2 linked regions of the Drosophila melanogaster genome follow. The protein of the gene in region 1 purifies or fractionates together with the protein of each later gene. This does not show direct contact. Each region holds a gene or a part of one and is shown on either strand. Other genes may lie near its edges.

Region 1 (6,315 bases):
AAAAGGTGCTGCTGGGCATGAAGACCAAGCGGCCGGAGCATGTGCAAACCGCACTGATACGACGCCATCTGCTCGAGCTGACGCAAAGCTTTATGATACCACTGGAACGGTATATGGCATCACTGATGCCGCTGCAAAAGGACATCAGTCCGTTTAAGTCGGCGCCGAATGCCAACAGCTTTAAGCTGGATGACTTTCTGGGCACGCTGGAAACCGCTGGGCCGCAGCTAACGTCGCCGCTGAAGGGCGACTGGAAGGGCCTGTACAGACGCTTCTTTCGATCGCCCAATTTTCGCGGCTGGTACGGTGCACGTCATCGGGAGCTGCAGCTAACGCTGCAGGATCTACAGCTGCAGGCGCTATCCGTGGCGAATCTCGAGCACTGGGCGCACGACAAGCAGGAGGTGGAGATCATCGATATGATACTCAAGCTCAAGCAAAAACTGAATCTCTATGGCGACAAAGCCACGCAGCTGGAGGGCAACAATGGCTCAACTCAGCAGCAGATACGCGCCCAGATTGAGTGCATGAAGGGCTTGCTGCCGCCGGATCTCAAGAATGTGGTGAATCTTTGATGGTAGTAGCTCAATCCTCGTCCTCCTCCTTCTCTTCTGCCACTTATCACTTTGGCTGCTCCACATCTGTCTGCTAGTATCCTGTGATTGTGTGATTGTGCCTGGCGGTGCTCTTTATCAGTGTAAATAGATTTTAATCGGCGATTAGTCGCCGTATTTGTGTCTAGTTTAATTCTAAAGTGAATCCAAGCGAAGCGATGAATGTTGTTAGTTCAAACTACAAGTCAAGTATTAAATGTAATCGATGTGTCCCTTCCATATTTTCACATCCATGCGAAAACAATGCTCATGTCTCAAAATGTCGAAAACCATGCCAATAATATCTATGTGGCTGCAGCTTGAAACCACTAACCACAACATTGCAGTCCCTTCCTCTCCAGCTTTTTACTGATTGTGAATGGGAGTTGTGAAGCCAGTTGGTTATACCTTCAGTTTGTTTCTTTTAAAACCGTTGTGCAACTTTGTGTGTATATCGCTTAAATTGTTTATGTCAAATATAAGTTAACTATAATACATTAGCCAACAGCTGCAGCCTTTCCTTATGCCAACGTACATATTCCGTGGATTGCAATGGGAGTTCCAAAGTGTTTATTTTTTTTTTTATATAAATACAAAACAAAAATGACAACTTAAGCGCTAGAATGGTTGATGGATAAAGGATGGATTGATGGATGCAATCGTTCGTTCGATTGTTGCTCCTTGGAATGCGCGATCAGATGAGAAAGACTATATCGTCGGCGACCATGATCTGATTGTCCTCGGTCATGCGATGCACGGCGGCCTCGATTTCGCCAGCGGTGAACGGCTCCTGGCTGCCAACGTTGATGGCCGTGGTGATCCTGGCCAGCGCCAAGCTCTGTTCGCGTGCCTCGCGAAACAGTCGCTGCAAATTGTTCTTGAACTCGCCCAGGCGGGCATCGCTAATGATGGCCGGCTCCGTGGTCGATGTGGCCACCGACTGCTCCTCACTGGAGGGGCTGGCCATCAGCATGGCGACCGAGCGAGCGGGCAGAGAACGACGCGTTTCGCGACGCGTCAAATCGCCAGCATCCGGCTGTGGTGGCTCAATATCCTCCTCATCGCTATCGGCACCGACGGTCGCTGTGCGTGTGCGTTTGGAGCGTCGCGATGGTGAGCGCTGGCTAGATGCCTCACCGTTGTCATCCTCCGCATCGGAGCCGCTGTTGCGACGACGCTTGCTGGGGCGATCCTTATCCAGCACCTTCTTAAAGTAGGCAAACTGTACCAGTTCGATGGCCGCATGGGCATCGTCGATGGTCACCGATTTGGACATGCGTGCCCGGGCATGGGCCGTGGACAAACGGATGAGGGTCTCCAGGGTACGGGCCGTTATTGGCTGCGTGCGTGCCACATCCGTTTCGACCGCCTCCTGGGAGCGCAGGCGCGAATACTCATTGGCAATCGCCTCGCAGGCCTGCTCGCCCAATTTGGGCTTCATACACTTGGCAATGTGTATGTACTTGCGCATGAACTCCACGGATAGGATCTTCTCGTGACGCTGACGCGACTTGCCATGCAGCAGGGCATCGTACTTTTCGTACACCTCGGTGTCCTTCTTCTGTAAAATACAATTTCAAGACCATGTCAATCGATTATACACAATCATAATCGTGCCTTTCGACGAAAACCCACCTCCTCGCTGCTGGAAACAAAGGACAAGGAGTCCGCATAGGAGCTGCCCATGGACAAGGGCTCGCCGTCGGCCTCCTTGGGATTGCGATAGCGATGCATGCGCACCACATGGTCCGAAATCATTTGATCCACATCGCTGTCAATCACGTCCAGCATAACGAAGAGCAAATCGAAACGCGAAAGCAGCGAATCCTGCAGTCCAATATTTTCCATCGGCGTCTTATATTGATCATACTGGAATTGAAGACGAAATTAGCAAGAAAAGCGATGAACAGACGGATTCGGATGGACTCTTACCCTTCCGTACACCGGATTAGCGGCTGCCAAAACGGAGCAGCGAGCATTGAGCGAGGCATGGATGCCCGCTTTGGAAATGGTAACACGACCCTGTTCCATCACCTCGTGAATGGCTGTGCGATCGATGTCGCTCATCTTGTCAAACTCATCAATGCAGACGACACCGCGATCGGCCAGGACCATGGCGCCCGCCTCCAATCGCCGCTCACCGGTCTCCTGATCCGTGGTAACCGCCGCCGTCAGACCGACGCCGCTGGATCCGCGACCCGTTGTCGGTATGGCCCTTGGTGCCGTATTCAAGACGTAGCGCAGTAGCTGCGACTTGGCCACCGAAGGATCGCCGATAAGCAAGACATTAATATCGCCACGCAGGCGTGTGCCATTCGGCAGGATCTTCTCAACGCCGCCGAGCAGCAGGCAAAGAATGGCCTGCTTCACATAGGCATGTCCATGAATCGAGGGCGCCAAACTCTTGCTGAGCAGCTCGAAGATGTCGTTATTCTTCGCTAGCTTCTTGCACAGCATGATGTCTTCGCGCGATATGTCCAAATTGCTCTCCTTGCTGAGCAGCGATATATTGTTGGCCAGCAGCACGGTGCGGAACGTGCCCGAGGTGTAGCCACCGCGTTTGCCCGGCAAACAGCGATAGCTGCCCACAATCTGTACACGATCGCCGGGCTTGCAGCGATCCACGAGATCGTCGTCGCACACAATATCCACCGAACGCGGCAATTGGCCAGCCGGCGCCTTCTCGGGCATCTCTTGAATGGTCAGCGTCTGGTGATCCTTGTAAACGGACAAACCGTATTCGGTCTCCAGCAGATTGCCATCCTCGTCCTTTGTGGGATAGGCAGCGCCAGATGGCACAGCCTCGAACGATGTGAGATCGGTGTATTTGCGCTCCATTACCTTACGCGTATTGGGGCAATAGTGAACGCTGCGCACCACCTTGGGACGAATCAGCGATACCTTGGTAACAATGCCCTCCACGCACACCATGTTGCCCAGATAGATGGAGGTGAGGGAGCGCGGCGTCACATGCCGATTGCCAAAGCAGCCCTCGAAGCCGACAAACAGATCCTCATGCATTTTGGCATAGCCCGGATCAACCGTGGACGCATACTCCTTGAGCGCCCTGCCAAAGGCCAGCTGCTCATCCGCCGCGTTGCTCAGTAGCCCCAATGCACGTTGCGGATTCTTGCGTTTTAGATCGTTGACATTCACGATCAGGCGCTTGCTCTTCTCCGCGATCATATCCTTGACGTGGCCCGCATAGATGCCCTGATCCTCCTCGTCGTCCAGAAAGTCCACATACTCGCGTTGTATGTCCTTGATGAACTGCTCCCCCTCGTGGGCCATTCTGTGACTTAAGCTGTACACTGGAGTTCACAAAACTTCTTTCGATTTCGCTTATGGATCAACTTCGATCCGTTCGGAGGCAAACGCAAATGCAAACAAAACTAATGTCGCAAATTGCACGCCGAATGCAAAGTTTTTTCGCGGGAAAAGCGTAGTGTGACCATACTGTGGGCATTTGAAGACTGGTTGCGCGGGCAAAATATATATGCTATAATTATTTCCTTTTTTTATATATTTACATATAATTATTAACTTTATTATATAAAACATAGTGGACATAGCAAACTAACTAATATAAGCAAATATACGTTGATATGCAAATTTATAATTAAAACGTTTCCACCGAACATCTGACTTAATTTGTAATGCATACAATATAGAAAACTATCAAATAATTCCTATAATAGTAGTATATATTTATTATCTGCCTAATTAATATCTACATTTAATCCATTGCTATAATAGTAAAATATATTTATTATTTGCTAAATTACTGTCCACACTTAATACATTCCTATAATATATACAATATATGTATTATGTGCCTAATTACTGTTTAAACTTAATCCATTCTTATAATAGTATTATATATTTATTATTTGCTTAATTATTATATAATATATAATATTATTACACTTAAACCATTCTTATAATAGTATAATATTTGTATTTATTATTTGCCTAATTATTATTATATTATTATTACTATATCCTATAATATATACAATATATGTATTATATGACTTATTACTGTTTACACCTAATCAATTCCTATTATAGTATTATAGTATATAGTAATATATTTATTATTTGCTTAATTACTGTCCACACTTAATCCATTCATATAATGGTATAATATTTTTATTATTTGCCTGAGTACTGTCTACACTTAATCCATTTATGATGTGGCTGCGTATTAAATAGTTTATTATTATTAAATAGTTTGTGTAAAAGAAACAGAAATTGTTTACATTTTATGATACATATATATATAGCACTTAAGTAAAATAAATTCCATTTTTATTTATTTCTATAAAATATATATATGTTTAAAATAAATTATATTTCTTGGTAGGATTTAGTTTATCATTTGACTTTGCTATACATTTCTGACCGCCCAAAGAAACCAGTTAATATTGACCACATATTACCGAAATTAGTCTTCAAATTGCTCATCACGAGTCTTCACTGCACTGCTGGTAACACAGCCATTGTCTGGACTGCCGCAACTATCGAGTGCGCACAGCTATCGATATTACGCACTGGTCACACTGTTATAACGAAAAAAAAATTCGCATATTATTCACACTTTACCGGTGTTTCTTGACAGAAAATGATAAGTTTTCGTTAACCGAATTCTCAGAAAGTAAGTGCTTGGAAAGTTTTTCCAAGAAAAAGTGCCCAATAGGGAAACCAAACCTGAAACCAAATAATTTTCCACGATAAGCGCAACAACGCGATATTAGATTGGCCAGCCCTGCGTTTGCGGTTTTTTTTTTGTTTTTTTATTTCCTGTATTTTTTTTGGGGGGGAAAAATTGCAGTTCCACGGAAAGCGAAAAGTTTTCCACCAAAATAAACGGTTGAAGCATGGACGCCGACAAGCAGGTGAGTGTCAGATTATAGCTCCAATAGGCGCCGCCCTTATGCGTATGCCCAATATATTGCAGCTGGAAAGGCAGCTGGAGAAGGAGCTGGACGAGATGCCGGCAGAGGATTTGGACGACGATGCGTATGACGAGTATGATCTGATCGTGATACCCGATCAGGGCAAGGGCTCGCCGCAGCAGGGGCACAGTGAGTCGCCGCAGCAGGAGGAGGAGCACAAGTCGGAGGAGCTGCGCCAACGATCGCGCCCAACCTGGCCACCGTCGTCCGCCGGCGGGGATATGACCACCATTGAGTTGATCTCATCGGACGACGAGCCGTCAGTGGAGGAGACTGAGGGAGGCAATGCCGCTGGCCGTGGCAGAGCGCGCAATGATTCCAGCAGCAGTAGCGATGATGTGGGCGTGATCGAAGGCTCGGAATTGGAATCGAACAGTGAGGTGTCCAGTGACAGTGACAGTGATAGCGACAACGCTGGCGGCGGAAATCAGCTAGAGCGCTCGTATCAGGAGCTGAATGCGTTGCCCAGCAAAAAGTTTGCCCAAATGGTCTCGCTCATTGGAATCGCATTGTGAGTTTGCCTGCTTCTCCCACTCCCATTTTCCATTTTTTCAATATCGGCATTAGCTAATGTTGATGCTCGTTAATGCAGCAAACTGAATGATCTGGAAAAGATCGAGTCATCGGTGCTGGAGCTGCAAAATTTGGCCACTGTGCCGGCTCACGTGTGGCTGAAGTATCTAAAGGCCCGCCTGGTCGTCACCCAAACGGACGAGGAGCGCAAGGCATTCGAGGAGCAGTGTGCCAAAGCGTTGGGCTACTAC
Region 2 (5,504 bases), on another chromosome or scaffold:
TTTGAAGACCATCCCGCGGTCCAACCTCCACAATTCGCACCTGATTGGCCGCGCTTGTAACCGCCGTGCGCTGTTAGTTTTAAAATTATTAAAATATTGTCAAGTGCGTTCGATTTTCCGTGAAATTACCTTTGCTGTAAGTGCAAGGATAGAGCGAATTGGTGCACTTATCATTGCTAAATTTGTAAATAAACGTTACGTATTCCGCTTCTTCTTTTTTCGCTGATAACAGCTGATAATGATCCAAGATCGATATGTTGCTAAATTTCGATAACTGTTTTGCTTAATGAGCTGCCATCTCTAGCGCAGAGGCGTAAACACATTTTTTGTATACAAACGGGTATTTGGTGCTAATTCTTTGTAATGGAAATAGCAGAGATATCTGCAGAAGATGAGGATGTGTTTCACTTTGAGACCGAGCACCTGGCCCTGCGTGGCAACCAGTGCTATACCAATTTGCTGCGCACTTTGGCCGTGCTGCAGGCACAAAGGATTCGGGTGCATCAGCAGATTGAGGAATTGGAAGCCACACAAAATATCTACTTGGAGAATCCGCAACATATGCTGGACAAACTGCGAAACAACGAGCCTTTGATAGCGGATAATTACATCACCACGACCGTTCTACCGGACTTGCCAACTCTGTCGCCCAATGACGAGGAAGGGGGCACAAATGAGACACCGACCGATGCGTCTTCATGGACGCAAGAGGCGAACAAGAATCGGGACAGGAGCAATGGACGGTCGGAGAATTTCAATCGCTTGTGGACCAACGAAGAGCAGAGTCGCTTGGAGCAGCTGCTCATCCAGTATCCGCCAGAGGAAGTGGAAATGCGCAGATTCGGGAAGATAGCGAAGGCCTTGGGCAACAGAACGGCACAGCAAGTGTATAGTCGTGTCCAGAAGTATTTCCAAAAGCTGCACGATGCCGGAATGCCTGTGCCCGGTCGCATACCCAAGCATCGACGTCCTGGTTTGAGTAAGCCGAAGATCAAACTTCGCAAGTCAACCTTCTTCCCCGCTCATAATATATCGCTACAAATGCCAGAGGACGATTTCACATTTGACGACCTGCGAATCCCATCGCCTGCGAGCGATATGCTCCTTATGCCGGCATCCAAGATCGAACCAAAGATCGAATCCGAGTACATGGATGCCGATCTGAATGCGGAGTCAAAGCGAAAACAGGAACTATGCCTTAAGCTTCTATCAGCCATTCAGGACGAGAAACGGGAAATGGAGGACGGATATGAGCCAGACTTGCTGGCCGCCAAGTGTGCCGAGTGCGAAGAGGCATCTGTGACCAGGACCCAATGGCGTTGTAACAGTTGTTATTGTTACCTTAATCTGTGCGGAGATTGCCTGGCCAGTCAGCTAATCGAAGGGCGTTTCGAGCATTTAAGTCATGAAGTTGTAGTGGACCAAGAGTCATGACGCTCCTAGAGTCCCATTTACTTGAGTACTAAATTACTAGACTTGCCTGTAAAGCTACAAATTAAATATAAAGAGAATAATTTTAAAAAATTCTATTTTATTTATAAAAACTTAATATTAAATGGTATAAAAGAGAGGCCCTCTTAATTGCGCAATTGGGCAGATGATTTCGGCAGAGATTGAATACGCTGGCGACGCTTTGCTTCGAACTCCGTAGCCAGCTGCCATGTTTCTTTGTCCAACGTATCCTTCCCCCGGGCGATGCCCAGCAGCCGTGAGAGGACCAGCAATCCATGCAGATCATCGGCATTACTTTTGACATTAGCTTTACGCATGTCCACGAAATCCTGCTGGATCATTTCAGTGTGCTCCTCGCTCACGTTGAAGCCGCTAGTGCGCGCTGTGGTCAAGTACTTGCGAAACTGCTGCAGACGTGATGGCTGCAGATAGTGGTGGGCTGCCTTTAGAGATTCATCAACAAGTTCCACGGCCTTAGAATCGGCATTAATGGGCAGCACAAAATCGCTCTGAAAACATATCATTAATAGTTTCTATTGGATATAATGATTATTTATATAAACTTATATTCTTACCGGCAACATACTTCGCCCTTCACTGAGCACGAGAACTGGAATATTTGCTTGGTAGTCTATTTGGTAATACTGAAAGTCGCACTTCAGTTCCTGATTATTGATCAAGTGCGCTAAATGCTGAACGGCATGAACACCATTGGCCTCCAGCTTGCCCTGTTGCATGCACGTCTCGTCGAGCACCAAATGCGTATGGGGAGCCAACTGTAGTACGCCGGAAACCAGCTTGTTTGTCTCATAATCCTTCCTGCAAGTACTCATTAATAGGTATTCAATTTTATACTATTTCTGCTTAGCCAACTTACTTTGGGGCAAAGGCTGCCGTGTTTAGTGTGACGAGAGTCATGGGCATGTAATGGCTGGCCGGCAGTAGCAGCTCCAGAATTTGATACAACTTGGTTGCATACGCCTCACAATTCTTAGGGAGATTACAAAGGTTAAGGGCGAACTTGCCGATGCTCTGCATCTCAGAACGACTGTAGACCGTAGATATTAGGTGGGAGAGCAAATACTCGGCAGCCAGATCGTCATCAAAGAGGCAGAGTTTAAGAAGCATGCGCAGATCTTTGTGCACAGCAAGGTGGGTTGGATACGTCTCCTCACATATTTCCGTTGGCTGTCGAAGGCTTTTGTCCAGCAGCGGATTGGCATGCGGCAGCACCTGGACTCCGAAGGCATGCAGGCGGGGTATAAGAAATGGCGATGGATGAGCTGCCTGCAGTTCACTCAAGTTTTCACAATCGTCTATTTCCAGGGTAGCGGCGTCTAGTGAAGCATCCACTGACAGAAAGCCCACAAAGTCGACCAGCGAGTTAAGCTGGTAGGTATCGAACTCCTCGTAAACCTTTACCATGCATGCCATGCTGGGACGATCCGGCAGAGGCGAGTTAATCAGGTAATCAGACCCAAGAACAGAGGATTTGGAGGCGCCGACTGGCTCGCTATCTTTTTGAATCTCTTTTAGGCAGGGTCGCTTGAACGTTGTTTCGCTCGCAACGTCCACATCCATGGCTTCTTCTTCGCCTACAATAGTCCGCTTCTTGGCTGAACTGGGAGATTGACCCAGACTGGCCAAATCGATCTGGGGACAGCACAGCTTCTCATGCTCCTTGCTCCAATCGTTCAGACCAGGCACAGAGACCACGAACATGGTACGCCTCTCTCCATGCACGTTTCCATCGGCGTTGTAGTCAATCACTTCGCCATTGGCTATTTTCAAGCAGTCCCTGTACTTTCCTTCCTGTACACGTTTGCTGCCGTCGGCGGATTTCACTTCGTAGCGCTCCAGATAGATTTCTGGGTCCATCATGTCCTGGATCATTCCACGAAAGCGCACCAGAGTCTGATCCTTCAGCTTGTGAAGAGGCGTGTAGTTGAGCAGGGGAATCGAGTGCCAACGACTGGGATCCTTGAGCAAGTCCTTGAGTGCAGCGCTGTCCGCTTGCTGGGCGGCCAGTTCATCGGGCGTGCTGGGCAGCTCCATCGCACAGGGCATTATCTAGTTAACGAATGAATTTGCAAATGCCTCAAAAACCTCGAATGCAAAAAACAACAGCTGCTTTGGCGCGCCAAAAACTGATTGCAGCATATTAGTGATGGTCATCGATGGGCCTATCGATATCTGCCAGGGATGTCGAACTCTGCCGCAGAACGGATGTAGAGGCGGATGTGGACATCCGCAAAAAATGTACAATTTGAGAATTACCAAAGAATTGCAGCGATGAGCAAGAAGAAAAGCAATGTGTGGCAGTACTTCTACAAGACATCCGGCACAGTGGCCACCTGTCTGCTGTGCAACAGGAACTACTCGAGGCGAGGACGCGGCACAACATGTCTGCGGAATCATCTGAAGAGCAAGCACCCACCGGAGTTCCTATCTCTATCCGGGGACATAAAGTACCTGGACCTGGTTAAGAGCGAGATCTCCATCGGTTCGCCACAGCACCCCACAGCCCAGCTAGAATTGAATCTGCACGTAAGTGGGATAGCATATAGATGTGCATACATACCTATGTACATGCATATGTACTGTGCAAGAAGTGTACCTTATGTGAAATCGGGGTACATGCCCTTCTAGATATTCTGTCATGTGGAGATGGTTTCCCCAAACTTAAGTTTCCATTCAAATATAGTTTCTTTGGTAGTTCATAAAGTAATTTATGCCTTCTCTTATTTAAAACTTTTTACTAATATAGCAACAGCGGATGCGGATTTTTATCCGCGTTTGGCTAGATCGGCAAACATGTGTTGTGTTTATAAAGTGTAGTTAAGGAGGTTTTAAAAATGTACTGTTATGGTCTTAGTATTATATTTTTATAAATTATGCGTTTTTCACTAATCTGATGCATTAAATTATTCTATTAATCATTTTAGGAAACAGATTCAGATCCATTGGACACCGAGGATATATCCTACAGCAAACGCTGTGATGAGAAGTTGGCCCTCATGCTACTAAATCACTCCTTTGAGTTCATTGAAGGACCAGGATTCGTAAATTTCATTAGGACGCTGCAGCCGCGGTACACGATTCAACCAAGGAGCTACTATGAGAAGATACTGTGCGAGGATATACAAAGGAAAATGCATCAGCATTTGAAGCAACAGGTGGATCTGCTGGATGCCATATCGTTGTCTACGAGTCTCTGGCGTGGTGACAAAGGCGAAGGACTGCTGAGCTTGTCCTGCTCCGGAATATCAAGGGATTTTCAGACTCACCGCCTAATGCTGAAATGCGAGGCTCTGAATTACGAAAGCACTTCGAAGCTAGCTTGTTGCATTCGAGATCTTGTGCCCAGCTTGGCCATTGAGGTGCCCAAAGAGAAGATACACTGCGTAATCAGGGACGAGATGACGGCGCTGCCAGGTTCCCTGCCCGATTGCAGTGTGCACCGCCTGCAGATGTGCGTTCGATTTGCTTTGCAATCGAACGAATTACTGCAGAACCTTTCATCCAAGTGCAAGCAAATAGTTGACCATTTTGCGTCGTCTAAGATGGCCAACGATCATCTGAAATTCATTCAAGAGATCCGCTTGACGCGAGACCCGTGCACACTTACACCTTACGATCCCTGTCAATGGAATTCCGCTTTTCAGATGATGAGCAGCGTGTTTCGAATGAAAGATGCTCTATCCTTGTACTGCGAAGAGTATAGTCTGGTCCAAATATATCCAGATGAATGGATAGAGATCGATTTGTGCAGCAAAGTAATGCAGCCTTGTGAAGAAACAATCAAGATATGGAGCAATCCATCTACGACCACCTCATCCGTAATCCCGCTGGTTGCCGCTTTACGGGATTCCCTCCGAACAGATGTCCATAACTTTGTCTCATCTGTGGTAAGTTGCAGTAGATAAAACCATAAAGTATTGTCTAATATTTCGAATGTCTAGACTATATGCAGTTTCGCCAGAAAGTTGCTTGAAGAACTGGAAATGAAGTTCGCCCACATCACTAGCGACATCAACTTTTTGATGGCCACA

Evidence for each region. The genes of interacting proteins can lie anywhere in the genome.
Region 2: the proteins of Mcm3 (region 1) and CG3430 purify together in Drosophila melanogaster (affinity purification with mass spectrometry, with the first as the bait; one large-scale study listed by BioGRID). This does not show direct contact.

The regions. Positions count from the first base shown.
Region 1 is NC_004354.4:5,321,566-5,327,880, reverse strand, and holds Mcm3 (minichromosome maintenance 3), read right to left. Parts: upstream 4,027-6,315; 5' UTR 3,885-4,026; coding exon 2,526-3,884; intron 2,463-2,525; coding exon 2,229-2,462; intron 2,155-2,228; coding exon 1,288-2,154; 3' UTR 1,143-1,287; downstream 1-1,142. Other genes in the region: CG3309 (uncharacterized protein), read left to right, coding at 1-575; Rnp4F (RNA-binding protein 4F), read left to right, coding at 5,474-5,491, 5,554-6,062, 6,144-6,315. UniProt on the Drosophila melanogaster protein: Acts as a component of the Mcm2-7 complex (Mcm complex) (Mcm complex) which is the putative replicative helicase essential for 'once per cell cycle' DNA replication initiation and elongation in eukaryotic cells.
Region 2 is NT_033779.5:6,955,113-6,960,616, reverse strand, and holds CG3430 (uncharacterized protein), read right to left. Parts: upstream 3,610-5,504; 5' UTR 3,520-3,609; coding exon 2,330-3,519; intron 2,272-2,329; coding exon 2,028-2,271; intron 1,962-2,027; coding exon 1,578-1,961; 3' UTR 1,513-1,577; downstream 1-1,512. Other genes in the region: Hmgcl (3-Hydroxymethyl-3-methylglutaryl-CoA lyase), read right to left, coding at 1-70, 130-174; Atac1 (Ada2a-containing complex component 1), read left to right, coding at 364-1,434; CG13775 (uncharacterized protein), read left to right, coding at 3,745-3,999, 4,398-5,360, 5,415-5,504. UniProt on the Drosophila melanogaster protein: Associated component of the MCM complex that acts as a regulator of DNA replication. Binds to the MCM complex during late S phase and may act by promoting the disassembly of the MCM complex from chromatin.